4 linked regions of the Tribolium castaneum genome follow. The main gene of each other region encodes a partner of the protein of the gene in region 4 in a complex. Links are inferred from orthologs where the notes say so. Each region holds a gene or a part of one and is shown on either strand. Other genes may lie near its edges.

The links.
Region 1: mediator of RNA polymerase II transcription subunit 25 (region 4) and MED20 share a complex: the UniProt entries of both Homo sapiens proteins name them as parts of the mediator complex. The link is inferred for Tribolium castaneum from reciprocal best matches to the Homo sapiens genes MED25 and MED20.
Region 2: mediator of RNA polymerase II transcription subunit 25 (region 4) and MED21 share a complex: the UniProt entries of both Homo sapiens proteins name them as parts of the mediator complex. The link is inferred for Tribolium castaneum from reciprocal best matches to the Homo sapiens genes MED25 and MED21.
Region 3: mediator of RNA polymerase II transcription subunit 25 (region 4) and MED4 share a complex: the UniProt entries of both Homo sapiens proteins name them as parts of the mediator complex. The link is inferred for Tribolium castaneum from reciprocal best matches to the Homo sapiens genes MED25 and MED4.

The regions. Positions count from the first base shown.
Region 1 is NC_087398.1:429,408-432,274, reverse strand, and holds MED20 (mediator of RNA polymerase II transcription subunit 20), read right to left. Parts: upstream 1,544-2,867; 5' UTR 1,408-1,543; coding exon 787-1,407; 3' UTR 715-786; downstream 1-714. Other genes in the region: Hmbs (porphobilinogen deaminase), read right to left, coding at 1-34, 87-273, 333-405, 458-502; uncharacterized protein LOC103313212, read right to left, coding at 1,749-1,821, 1,879-1,963, 2,011-2,082, 2,688-2,867. UniProt on the Homo sapiens protein: Component of the Mediator complex, a coactivator involved in the regulated transcription of nearly all RNA polymerase II-dependent genes.
Region 2 is NC_087401.1:8,393,309-8,396,386, reverse strand, and holds MED21 (mediator of RNA polymerase II transcription subunit 21), read right to left. Parts: upstream 1,542-3,078; 5' UTR 1,354-1,541; coding exon 1,312-1,353; intron 1,264-1,311; coding exon 1,048-1,263; intron 998-1,047; coding exon 824-997; 3' UTR 715-823; downstream 1-714. Other genes in the region: Set1 (histone-lysine N-methyltransferase SETD1B), read left to right, coding at 501-674; FAM21 (WASH complex subunit 2A), read left to right, coding at 1,802-1,921, 1,973-2,292, 2,340-2,532, 2,676-2,871, 2,917-3,078. UniProt on the Homo sapiens protein: Component of the Mediator complex, a coactivator involved in the regulated transcription of nearly all RNA polymerase II-dependent genes.
Region 3 is NC_087397.1:1,784,133-1,787,516, forward strand, and holds MED4 (mediator of RNA polymerase II transcription subunit 4), read right to left. Parts: upstream 1,911-3,384; 5' UTR 1,789-1,910; coding exon 1,721-1,788; intron 1,671-1,720; coding exon 977-1,670; 3' UTR 715-976; downstream 1-714. Other genes in the region: uncharacterized protein LOC661495, read right to left, coding at 2,010-2,242, 2,292-2,935, 2,983-3,251. UniProt on the Homo sapiens protein: Component of the Mediator complex, a coactivator involved in the regulated transcription of nearly all RNA polymerase II-dependent genes.
Region 4 is NC_087402.1:9,089,999-9,094,327, forward strand, and holds the start of mediator of RNA polymerase II transcription subunit 25, read left to right. Parts: upstream 1-1,327; 5' UTR 1,328-1,425; coding exon 1,426-1,547; intron 1,548-2,854; coding exon 2,855-3,025; intron 3,026-3,073; coding exon 3,074-3,293; intron 3,294-3,340; coding exon 3,341-3,689; intron 3,690-3,734; coding exon 3,735-3,980; intron 3,981-4,027; coding exon 4,028-4,212; intron 4,213-4,329. Other genes in the region: toll-interacting protein, read right to left, coding at 138-594, 642-940, 988-1,032. UniProt on the Homo sapiens protein: Component of the Mediator complex, a coactivator involved in the regulated transcription of nearly all RNA polymerase II-dependent genes.

The DNA of each region.
Region 1 (2,867 bases), on a different chromosome or scaffold from region 4:
TTTTTGCAACACTAGAGCGTCCCGCGGATCCTCTCTAAATTTTACGAAAGCTAATTATAATCATTACAATAATAATTAAGAAAAACCTAGTCAAAACAGCCCCAATTGCCATTCCTGGAGGTAATACGGTTGGAAGATCTTTTAATGAGTGTACAACAAAATCTACACAGCCTGTACTTAAAGCTGCTTCAAGTTCTTTGGTGAAGAGAGATTTTTCACCAATTTTTGGTAACGGTATATCTAGGACTTTATCTCCTAATGTACTCATTGTTACTAAAAATAAATTTTTGAAATAAATAAATAAATTTTGGGAATTTTTTGCGAAACCTCACCAATTTCAAAATCCTTCCCAGGATGAATTTTTTTGAGCAGTGAAATCACATGTCGCGTTTGAATGAGAGCCAGCTGAAAATGTCAAATGAAAAAGAGCCCACAATAACAAACACGTGATAAATACCTCGCTTTTCCGGGATCCAACCCGGATTTTCTCAATCTCACTCATTTTTGTGCTTTTTCTCTCAAGTAAGGAACAATTACCGCAAACGCATGATTATGTTTTCATGCTGTTTTATTGAAAAAAAACTGCTTCATCACCACTATCACATTCTGCCCTACGTAAGTGCTGATAGAGGTGAACAATCAACTTTCCAAATTATGTAATTAGACAAAGACGCATAATAGTCTAATGTGTGGGAGTAAAAGAGAAAGACAATATAACCTCAAAATTGTTTTTATTTAATTTTTTCTTTACAAAAACTTTGAACCTTACAATAAATTAGCTTAAAATTAGGGCCTTAAACCGGGGGCCTTCCTAAATATCGTAAACTGCTCCAAATACTGATGAATTGTATCAATGGGGGTATACAACTCCTGCATCCTGTTTTGCAAATACGGTGGGGGCGTTGCAGGCACCGACGACCCCAAAAACCCCTGCAGAAACTCCCGCATCAACTCCCAACACATCGCAGGCACCACACATGGTCGATACTCTACTTCAACCAGAACCCCCCGAAAGTTCTGACTTACAGTCACTGTTCCCAATTTTACACAAAAATCACCGATTTCGTATCGCGGCCCCTTCGACTCGGCCTTAGTCTGTTTTTTTGATGAGTAAAAACCGGACATTTTCATCATCAGGAGATCAAAAAGGCCGTCAGTTGCGAGAGGAATGGTCTTTTGGCCTGTCTCAAGGATCGAAAAAACAGTCGCCGGCTGCTCGGAATTGTGAAGGACGTGGACTGTACGTTGGTGTCCCAAAGCGGCACAAGAAGTAAACGTTTCGCAATCGACGAGAAACTGGCCCTGTTGCAGGGCCCCCAGGGCGGAAATTCGCTTCGAGAGGAGCTCAATGGTGGAGGGCCCCGTGCGGTTCTCTGTGGGGAACTGTTGTAACACTGTGACCCCCATTTTAAGTGGATTTTTGGGGGCTAAATTGAGGTTATTATAGCTTAATGATCGTCAGTGGTGCCAACTTAGCTAGGTGTCAAAAATGCTACAAGTTCAAAGTCGTTGACCCCTTATCTCTTGAATCATAATGTAAACATATGTTTTATATTTACCGTATTTTTGGATTTGATTTATAACAATAAATTTTTTTGAAAATTGCGTTTTTATTTTGGTAAACCTTAGCTAACGAAAATTCCTAGTGTTCTTACGCGCCAAACTGCAACTTTCAAAGTGGTGGAATAAAATAGCGATTATTAAATAAAACTTTTATTATAAAAGTGTCATTTTTACAAATAAATAATTCAAGGCGAGGCTTTCTCACAACTTGACAGTGGCAACGTTCCTAATTCTTCGTCAGCAAATTCTTCAGCGTGTCTAAAAAAAAAACAAGATCAATGGATGAAAAAAAATTAGTCTAAATTAGCAACTTACTTTTGCTTAATTTTATAAATGTAAAATAGAACCATAAAATTTATCAAAAATAAAGCCGCTATGAGTAAGGCCGGTGCTAAAACATCTGAAAAAAAATTAACAGCAACCTAAACAAATCATAAAATGCGTTACCTGAAACCATTTCGATATTTTTCGATTTTCCGATGTCTTGAACAGTTAGCAGAGGCTTTTGTTGAAGTTTTTCTGAAAAAATGAGTAAATTTAGCCTTGTTCACGAGTCGCCGCTGACTTAATGAATGTGGTCTGAAGCGCAATTCCGCAATTTGATAACAACAAAACTTTTCATAATGATTTTTTTTATAACAATACAATATAACCTCAACTGCTTTGTCTAATTGGACGCTAAAAATACAATTACATGAAAAAAAACTCTAGAAACACTCACTATTTGCCTCGTTAGTGCAAACTCCTACAATTCTTTTTATCGCGAAAAACGCCTCTAGGTAATCCACGTGGTTCCTACACGATTTTCCGTTGACAACTGAGCATCGCGAGAGAGATAAAGCAATACGGGAACGTTTTGTTGAACGGAAACACCAACAAGTCAATAGGCAGAGGCGTAGACTCCATAATATAATTAGATTTTGTTTGGGAGTTTCATCGAATGCGAAATTGTTTTGTAGGGCTTACGTTCAGTTTATCTTTGTTTTATCCAAACTAGCAAACTCGCACAAAGCACGAAATGTGGAGTTTCGGCGTTATCTTTGTTCGCACACAACACTTTATCTCATTAAAAATTAAAAAGCGGGGTCGGAGGTCAATTCCATTTAGCGTCTAATCAAACTTACTAGTACAGTTGGGCAGAGGGAGGTCGACGTCCCACTTGGCCCCCTCGCAGTTGATGATTTTGGTTTTTTGTCCGTCGTCTTCAAAGGCCCGATTGATGCAGCACCTGTATTCTGCAGCTGTTTCGTTCCTATAGACCAGGTAGCCGTCTTCAGGGGCGTCGGGGGTGGGACACCCCACGG
Region 2 (3,078 bases), on a different chromosome or scaffold from region 4:
GTTCTATTTTCAATCTCTTAACACTCAAAATCTTGCAATTTAAGTGATGCGATAATTTTGTGGTGAGTCTAGTTTCGTGTTAATATCTTGGAACCACAAAATATTATACACAACATAGAACAATTTAATAATGTTTTAATATTTTAAAGAATAAATCGCTTGTTGAAAAAAGTGTAAGGAACAAAGTTGTAGAGAATTAAATTTCCTATAAAACAGTTTGCGACAACATATTTCCATTTTCAACGGTGTAGGTACAATGTGTTTTTAAATGATTCTTGGTGTACGTGTAATAGAAAATTTTATTCTCCATAAATTTCTTCGTAGGATTTTTCTTGTGTTCTTGATTTGTCCATTTGTTTTTAAATTAATTTAAAACGACTTGGCGCCGAGACAGTATAATGCTCAAAGCGCCCTCATTTTTACATTTTGGGTACGATTTTGTATCTCGTTTCGTTTCCTAAGCGACAGTCTTCCATAACCCGAAAAAATGATTTTTACAGCCGAATTGCTACGCCAAAGTCATCACAATCGAGTCGCAAAAGAAAATAGTGATCTACTCGAAACAGAGCATAGGTGTGAACGAGGAAATTACTTACGATTACAAATTCCCGATCGAGGACGAGAAAATCCCGTGTCTGTGTGGCGCGGCCACGTGTCGAGGAACACTTAATTAAAGGGAAACAAGACAGACTTTAAACCGAGTTAGTTACTATATAAAATTTAAATTATCTTTTTTATTTGTATATATGTTTCTGTAAATAGTACATGGTTATTTGTGTTTGTTTTTCATCACAACCGCAAATAAAATTCATTAACAGCTCACTTAACTATCCTTACTCCCCGCTTTTGTCAAATGCTGCATGTCCAGCTGTGATTGGGCGATGTCGCTCAACGCCGCCTGGATTTGCTCCAAGAGATCCTGACCTTTACGAACTATAGCCTCGAGACGCTCAGCAGACTCTTGATTGTCTGATTCCAAAATTCGCAAGCTTTGCAACTGAAACAGTGTTTAGTCCGCGGTCGGACCAAGTCATTGTAGATAGGTACCTGTAATTCGGTTGAATTTTCCTCGCTCGGGAGCGATTCAATCAAAGTATCTATGTCTTTGGCACAGCGCGCAATCAACGTTGTGAATAACTGGACGTAGTCTTCTTGGTTCTGTTGCTGGGGGGTTTGGGAGCCACTCCTGTCGAAGTTTGGGAATTTGCTAGGAGGGGCGAACTGTTGCAAAATCCCAATGCTGTTGCAGAAATGCTCGGCTTGCTGCGACAACACGAATGCAATTAGTGGTACAGTCTTAGGGGGAATTACCTGATTTATGCAATCCTGGAGCTGGGTCAAACGATCGGCCATTGAGGTTATGTTACCCAATCACCGACAAGTGATAAGACCCGAAATCACATAAAAACCAACACTGATGATAATTTGTTATCTCCCGAGGTTTAATATGCGACAAAATATATTAATTCGTACGAAATAACTAGAATAATACTAGAAGGTGAATGACATCTTGCAAAAACAAACACACATGATTGCCAACCCAAATCTGGTTGGGTAAAGTCTGCGTAAATTAATCCCACCGGGCCGAAGTTACATTTTAGTTATCACGCCTGATTTCAAATATAGTAGAACGGTTTTATTTACAAATTAATTGGTTTTATTTAATCAAATAATAACGCAAAACCGGGGAGTAATAGCCAACCCACGAGTTGAAAGTCCCCAAGTCAGTTTTTGACAGATGTCAAATTATTATTATTATTAATGAAAAATAGCAATTACAGGCCTGTTCAGCGCTTTAGAAATGTCCGGGGCCAAGCCGTGGGAGCGACCATGGTCCATGGACGAAATAATCCAAAATTCGGACAATTGGAATTTAGCCGGAGATGTGGCCCTTTTGAACACTCTCAAGGCTTTTGCAGACGTATTTCGCATTTTTGGCCCACATTGAACCGTTTCAGCGTTCAATTTTTAGAATCTCCTGACTCGAACAACCGAAATCAACAATAACTTGCAAAATTTGACAAGCTCCCTGTCTGAGACAAGTCTCCAGTTGAATATAGCCCAAAACGAGTTTCAAAGTTTGCGAAACAGCCAGTTTATTGAAAGTCGGGTTTATGAGGACGATGAGACTTTGGAGGAGCCGGTTGAGGCGAAAGCCGAGGAGAAAGAGGTTGATAAGACTGAGGAAATCAGGTTGGCGGCTTTGAAGGGTTTGGAGGTCTTGGAGACGTATTTTGAGAAGGTTGAGGTGTCGGTCAGTGACAGTGAAGACGACGATATCGACTTGCCCAAGTAATTTTTTTCTAAATAATTTACAAAAACTAGTTTGTCTTTTCCAGTTTTGTCCTCAGACCCAAAGACTTGTACCTGGAGCGCCCCCTTCCGTACGTAATCGGCTCAGAAGAGTGGCAAAAGACGTGGCACGTGGGCCTGGAGGACTCGTCCAGCGATAGCGAAACTGAGAAAGTCTCAGATAATTTCAGTGAAAGCGACTCAGAATCAGAGTTGCCAATTATTCCCGACAGAACACAGGTACTTTACACATGTTTTTCCACTGGTTGAGTTGCACTTGATCCATTCATTATCATAATTTTATTGGTCTATTAACCGGCCAACCGAATTTTTTGTTTAGTCGCGATCCAGTCGCCATGGGCAATATCTGGTTCTTTTTCCAGATCAAGGGCACCTCTGATACCAGTTCTGAGGACTTGCGAACTGAACCGAAAAATTTCGTCAATTCGAGTGATAGTGAAAACTCAGTTCCGGTGCAACCAACTACCAACTTTGCCGAAGAGTTGGCGGCGAAATTGGGGAACGTGATTGATCAAGAGTACGTCAATCGACGGCCAATCCAGAAAACGCCACAATACGGTAATTGTTTTTGGAAGCGGACCGCAGACTAAACGCTAATTCCAGATAACCTATTTTTCGATGAACCGCCGCCTTTGGACGAACCTAAGGGGTTGTTTTCAGGGGGTAAGGGCTTGTTTGATGACGATGATGAAGCCACGCCCCCAACCCCCAAACCCGAATTGAGACAACCCCCAAAACAGGACTTGTTCGATAGCGATGATGATG
Region 3 (3,384 bases), on a different chromosome or scaffold from region 4:
TATTTGAGTAAATTAGGTAACAAGAGAAATTCCGTTTGTTGCAAAGGTACTATTATTTTTGGAAAGTTGAGACACTTTGTGCTGTTCTACAATAAGTGCATCGCCACTACCTTAACACATGGTAATAATGGGAGTAGAGCTGTTAAAAAAGAATCAGTTATTGTCGATATTCATTAAAGCGTTGTTTAATCAAAGTGCATTGTTAAGCTCAAGCACCACCAGTTGATCAAGCCTTGGAAATGAGTCGCCTGTATGTTATTGATTTATTGATACCCATATCGCGTAATAATGACAATAAATAACTCGTTTGTTAAAGTATTTCGAAAAATTGATTACAGTTGGAAACTTATCATTATCGATACTGTGATACGATAATGTCATTGTTAAGAATATCGATAATATTCGGTGACTTTCTCTCGTTTTTCAGCCCTAGCTCTGCTGTAATAACGCGGTTTAATTTTCAAATTATCACACTACGACCCTGTGATAAAAAACTCACATATCCGATAAAAATTTAAATCAAAAAACCTACTTGTAAATTTGTACCTATCATAAAGACGCAATCAAAACAACAAACTTGTTTTTATAGAAAGTGAGTGTTGTTTAGAAATTTCAGAAAATGAGAAACTGCTTCATTTTTGTGATTATCATTTCATCAAACAATAAATTTGAATCACTTCAGCTTGTAGGGAATAATTAAATAATAGACGTTGGTATTACAATGAAATGTGTTTTATTTTCCTTCCATTATAAACAAACATAAGAAAACAATATTCGTCAGACGCAAACAAAGATCTTATCTAAACTGTCACGAAGAGTTGATTGATGAGATAAGCAGACAAGACTTTTTCCCCAAATAGCCGCCTCAATCTATTGATTTATCATTTTATTTCCCCTCATGGTATACTCTCCACACAAACTCGCTTAATTTTTTTATATAAATATGATGAATCAAGTCCAGGGAAAAAACACAAAACTACTGAGAATCGCTTGAGGAACTGCTGCTGGAGTCCGTGGACATGACCTCCACATCCTCGGTCTCCTGTTTATGGTTCCGCGTGTCCATCGGGACACTCCCTTGCCCCACACTCATGTGAATCTCCCCCGAGGGATGCCATGCAAATTGATTTTGTTGCGCGGCGGGTATTTCCCCCGGGTGCCCCTGTCTATGTAAATCTGACAAACTGTTCTGCTGTTGCAACAAATGCCCGTTAATTGGATCGCTCATCAGCCGCCCCAGCAGCCCCAACCGCATCTCAATATCGGTGGGGTACGGCCGGCGCGGGTCCCCCTGTTGCCACGTCAAGGGGGCACATATCGCATTAGACGCGCTAATCCTGTGCGCAAATTTGATAAGTTCCTCGGACGAGACCGGCCGTTTATTTGCGCGGGAAATGGACTGGAGTTTCTGGTTGGCTTGATAAATCGCAGTGGCCAGGATTTGCTCGGCCTCTTTGAGCTGTTTTTGCAAGTTGTTAATGTCGTTGTCCTGACGCTCCACTTCGGCCTTCAAGATGTCCATTTTTTTGTCGATTTGCGCCTGTTCAGCGGCCAGTTTAAGGGTTTCAGTCAGTTCGGTGTTTTTGGCCACCAAAAGCTCGGTCAGTTGAGCGTATTCAGGGCCGGAAAGCTTGAGGTGCTTGGGGGCGATTGAATTCTCGATTATTTCTCTAAAAAACGCAAATAAAACCATACGAAATGACCCGAAAGGGGGACGTACTTGGAGATTAACTCAATATCGTCGAGGATGTAAAGGAGTTTTTCCTTCGTGCTCATTTGAGACGACATAATGATGGGGAAAAACACTCACGGGTTTAAATATTAAACGAAATAATCAATTGAACAGTTTTTATTTCGAACACAACCTCAAATACACAAATGTCAAAATAACGCGCACACTGCGATGCCATCTGCCCAGAGAATAACTAAATCGTAAGAGCGGGAATTTTAATCGAAAAAATTACTTTATTGAAAGAAACCTAAGCTAAATTAAAATATATACACAAAATTCAATTCTCTTCACTCTTGACTTGAACCGCCGGCTCTTCCTGCTTCACATCGTCATCCTGTGTCTCATCTTTACTATTCTCATGCAATAAAACGTACTCCCTTGAGCTGAACCCAAACTTGATCACGTCTTTCTCCAACAACTCCACATATTTACTCGGCTCTATCTTCTTATTATTGATAAAAGTCCCATTAGCCGAGTTCAAATCAATCAAATACGGCCTTATTCTCTTCCCTGAAAAAAACAATGAAAAACCCAACACACTACCAGCTGTCCCACAAACCAGTGGTGCCATCCTCACGCGTGAAAGGGACTAGGCGATACTGCAAAGCTGCGTGTTGTTTTGAGCACGAAGGGTGATCTACAGGGAGATCAACAACTTTGCGATCGCGCCCAATCAAGTAGGCGCTTTCGCGATGTATGTATAAAGTCTGAAGGGCCTTTTCGCCCTTAAAAGGGTACAACCGCCACCGACGTTTCGGCTTGCAAGCCTCAGGCGGCTCGCTATATTTTATAACAACGCCACGATAAGTGTTAGTTTCTTCGGTAAGTTTTCCCGAAAGACCGAAATTCGGTTTTTGCTTTTCCTTCTGGTCTTTTTCCTTCTTGTCGGATTTTTTGTCGTCCGACTCGCGGCCCCAACGGGCGTTCGAGTGGTCAAAGGAGGCGCTTCTGCTACGCCGCCTTGGATGGTTCTCTCTGTTTCGCTCCCGGTTGTGGTAATTTTTGTTATCGTCCCGTCGGTTCCTGTAATCCCGTTCCCTGTCTCTGTAATCAGGACGCCGGTTTCTGAACCTGTTATCGTGAGAACGGTGGTCATTGGGGCGGTTTCTCCTGTCGTCATGCCGCCCCCGATCGTCCCGGACCCTCTTATCGTCCCTCTCCCGCCTGTCCCGATTTTCAGGCACAGGACTCCGCTTGCGTTTCCTTTAAACACAACTAGTATTTTCCCTTAAAACCACCAACAATCATACCTGTCGGTTTCTTCCTCATTTGTTGGCTTTTTGTCCCTCTTTTTTGCCTGTTTATTCGCCTCGTCACTTGCCACAGGCGGAGTTTCGTGTTTTTTATGCGAGTTTGCCTTCGTTTTGGTTTTCTTCGGCGATTCTTCAGTCTCAGGTTTCGATTCGGTTTTCTTGCTTTTACGTTTCGGGCGCCGTTCGGGTGATGAATCGGAGCTTTCGCTGCTTGAATCTGATGAACTGGAGCTGCTGGAAACGCGCTTCTTCTTCTTTGAGCCCATTTTTTGTTTGTTTGGGCGAAGTAACTTTAAGGTTATAAGAAACGCTACGTCTCGCAATTGACAGGTGTGCCAATACAACCGGCGAAAAAAAATATTGTGGGAAAAAATTAATTAAATTTGCATTATTATGTTC
Region 4 (4,329 bases):
GATAAGCAAACCAAAAAGCATGGCTAAATTTTGGCACTTGATGAGTTAAAAAATGACAAAAAATGGAATTTTAAAAAGCTACGACTAGAATCCGCAACTAAAGTTTAATTATGGCGTAAATGAGATTACTGATTGATTTATTCAGCCATTTGAAGTAACGAATTAATGGTACCGTCTTTATTGCCCCTGTTGGCCTCAAACACGGTCTTAATCACCTCTTTATCGATATTTGGAAACATTTCCTCGATTTGTTTGAGCTCGGATTCACTCAAAGCAGGCGCGGCTTCAGTAGGAGGCGCTGTAAACACCTTCAAGGGTGTGACATTGCCCCCTGTTACGTTGGGCACCACCATAACAGGCGCCGGTGGTTGATATTTATATGAAGGGAACACTAGATAACTTAACACGAGATTAATCATTCCTTCGACACCTTCACCCTGTTTCCCATTTAATGGGTACCAATCCTCGTGGGTTTCCCCTGCAAGTACCTGTTGGGGGATCTGGAACTGCGTCCAGGCGATGAGTTCGTCCATCGTAAATGAGCGTTCGTCGAAAATTTCTAACGTTATGGTATTAATACCTTGAGGCAACAAACTGGAAATGGAAAAGTAGGGACTTGCTAGTTTTTGAGATGTGTTTACCAGTGAATAACTTTGTTCCATCGCGGGTTTTTGCCGCCGTTCGGGTCCGTATGCGTCTCGTAAACGCAATGCCCGACCCGAATCCGAGCGTAGGGGTCCATTCTGGTCATTCCGTAATTTTTTGCGAGCTTAGCTTGAGCAACAGTGATACTGAGCCTCCCAACGACATTTGTGTACTGTTGGCCACCGCTTAGCTGGTGGTGCAGTGCTATGGCTGTTTGGCGATCCGCTGCCTCTTGTTGTTGCTGAACCGAGGTGCTGATACGGAGAAAATCCTCCGGGAGGGGACCAAGGAGGACCTAAATTTCGGCATTAAAGCACGATTTTTTAAATCATTGGCACCTACCCGACTTCGCCTTTCTCTGACTTTGTCCGTTAGCGCCGATGCCATGGTGTTACACTATTTCAGATAAAGTAAAGACGCATTAATTCACTGTTTGCGGTGTTTGATGACAAATAATCAGCTGTTCACGGCAGACGTCAACACGCCTGACACTAGGGGAAAAAATATAATCCCAGTCTGGGATTAAATTTTATTAGTTTCTGGCGAAAATAGCCAGGTAGTTTTGGTTAAATGCAATCTACTAATAATTCTATTCAATTGATTAGTTTTCCAGACAACATTTTTGCATAATTTGGCTAAAATAAAATTTCATCTGAATGAAAGTGTTGCCATTAACTTGACGTAACATCCCTAAAAATTTGACAGGTATTTTCAATATGGCGGGGTTTGGTGCTTGTATTAAATTGTTTCATTAAAATTGTTTAATATTTTGACTAAACAATGGTTGTGTGTCCAGCTGATCATGGCTTACACGCCGATATCGTTTTTGTTATCGAGGGAACTGCAGTGAATGGTGCTTATATAAATGACCTAAAAACCAATTATATCATCCCTTCGTTAGAGTAAGTTTACTTTTTTTTGTAACTTCTGATGTATTACATGTTTTTCTCTACTACTGCTAAATTGTTTTTATTGCCTATTTGGCTTTACAGTCCTACTTGAAGTTATTTGATATTCTAGATATTCTTTACCTTTCCCAATTTTCTTTTGCACCCGTCACTTTTTTCATCCATTCTTTTCCCTTACCATTTTCGTTTAAAACTTTTTTTCGTATCAAACTTGCACACTCTTACCTCCACAAACTGTGACACTCTCCGCTTAATCTGCACACTGTTTCCCAATCTTCTCTCCAATATTCGTTCTCGCTTTCATTTCTACGTCTAAATCTGGCTATGATTTTCTTATCTTTACTTTACATCTTCCTTAAGTATGAGAGGAGTTCATCCGTCAATAAGCACGGCATATTTTACGTATTACACCTCGATTCTTTTTTCCATGTTATTCTTTCCTGCCTATCTATGTCCAAATCTCTCAATTTCAGTTCCTCTTCCATTGTTCGTCCCCTTTCTCTTATTCTTTTAATTTCTATACACACTTATTCCTTCTTCTCATAGGAGTCTTTTCGTCCTTTCCATCTAACATTTTCATTTGCTTTTTTGATTTCTGTTCAACACTGTTGCATTCACGCAGAATTCTTAATTTCTCTTCAAATCCCACCGCTCTCTTTCCTTAATCTACTCTTAATTTTTTTCTCTTCCTTTTTTTACTATGTACTCTGGCATTTGTTTATTTAGCCTGTTCGATCTCGTATTTCTTCCATCCCCACACTTCTGCTCAAAATAGTCCCTACATTACAGTGCTTTTCCCTAAGCTATTATTTTTCTCTTGAAATTTTCACTAAATTTACGTTCTCCCAAGCTTCAAACATTTCCTAAAACCCCATTTGTTTTTTTTTGCTGCTTCTTTTATATGGGCTGTGTCTGACATCTTGCTACTTATTACTCTCTTCTAACTGAAATAGTGAAGATTGACTAAAATAATACAGTACATATCTGATTCAGATACTTCAAGTCTTTCACTTGTTCTATATTTTTCCTTCCCATTGCCATTCATCCTCTTTTCCGAATTCCCATACTACTTTTCTTTCCAAATATCATCATTTTTGTTGTATCTACATCTACATTTCCAATCTTTTATTTCTCTGTTTTTTCTCGTGATGAATTCTGAACGGATAGTTGAACAAGGTTTGAGGTACTGAGAAATCAGTGTAACCTTGCTTTGTTATGATAAAAATTACACCCTGATACGAAAAAGTAGTAGTAGTAGTTTTTAATTGGAGAATATGTTCTTGTAACTGAGGGACTTTTAGATATTTTAGTCAGGGGAGTATTGATGAGAGCAACTTCCTATCAGAAGGGATTAATTCTTATTACGGAATTGTGGTGTATCAGGCTGCTGATTGCTTACCGCACCCCAGTAGCGACACAATTGGGCCCTTTGTAAGCCCCAGTAAGGTATTAAATGCCATAGACAAACTTGAGTAAGTTCTAACTAGGAAAAGGATCACTTAATGTAAAAATTATTTCAGACTTATAGGAGGTAAAGGCGAGTCTCATGCAAACATTGCTGAAGGTTTAGCCACAACCCTTCAATGTTTTGACGAATTGCAGCAAAAACGTGACAATAACGGCAACATTCAAAAGCATTGTATTCTAGTGTGTAACTCGCCCCCTTATTCTCTAGGGGTTTTTGAAACTCATGCTTACACAGGGAAGACAGCTGAGCAACTAGCAGCTATTTTGCAAGAAGTAATTAACCAAGTGTCTTCCACCAAATTTGCATAATTAACTTTCAGAAAAATATCAATTTGTCGATTATCTCGCCGCGCAAAATCCCCTCGTTGTATAAACTGTTCGAGAAAGCCGGCGGTGATTTGAGCGCTTCCCAGACGAAAAACTACGCCAAGGACCCCCGTCACTTGGTCCTCCTGCGCGGCTTCAGCCTGAAGGAGCGCCCCCTGAGCCCCCCTGCCGGTACCGCCACTTCCGCCCAAACCCAAATTTCTAACACTACCATTCCTATAACCTCTCTCCCCAGCCCCTTAGCCAGCAATGACAGCCCCATCTCGTCATCCTCGTCCGCCAACTCCGGGGTTCCCTCAGGAGTGGGCCCATCGCCCGTCTATCGGCCGCCCAGCGCTCAAGGTATAACCCCCCAACACTCACAAAATGTTACACCAGGCATGGTAGGTATGGTGAACGCCCGAGGGGCCATGATGGGCAACAACCCCATGAACATCCCGCAATTGCCCGCACCGCCGGGCTACCACCAAGCGAACCGGCCCAGATGGCCAGCTATGTTGCCCCCAACGCAGCCCAGGTCGTATCTGCCGCCCAACCAACAGGTTAATACCACCCAAAGTAGCGCACTGATTGCACAGCTGACACAACCCCCGAATTCTATGCCGGGGACTGGGGTTAATCAATTTGGACAAAGTAAAAGAGAAGTTTTTGAGGTGTTTGAGGTAAATTGCGTGTTTTAGTGGGGAATAATTCGCCGCTTAATTCGCAACAGCAACAACCCCAAATGAAAATTAATATTATGAATCAGCAAAATCAGCAACCAAATGTTCAGACGTCGATGTCGCAGAATCCCAACAGTGGGATACAGACCACCTCAATTGCGCAGGTGTCGCAGCCGAATCAGGCCGGTACTTCCCCTGGACAGGTATTTATAAACAAAAAAACATCTGTTCAAAAAAAGGCTTCTTCGATCTCAGAAACTAAGAGATTTATCAGAAAACACATTATTTACTATTTTCTCTTAGTATCGGAACTAGTGCAC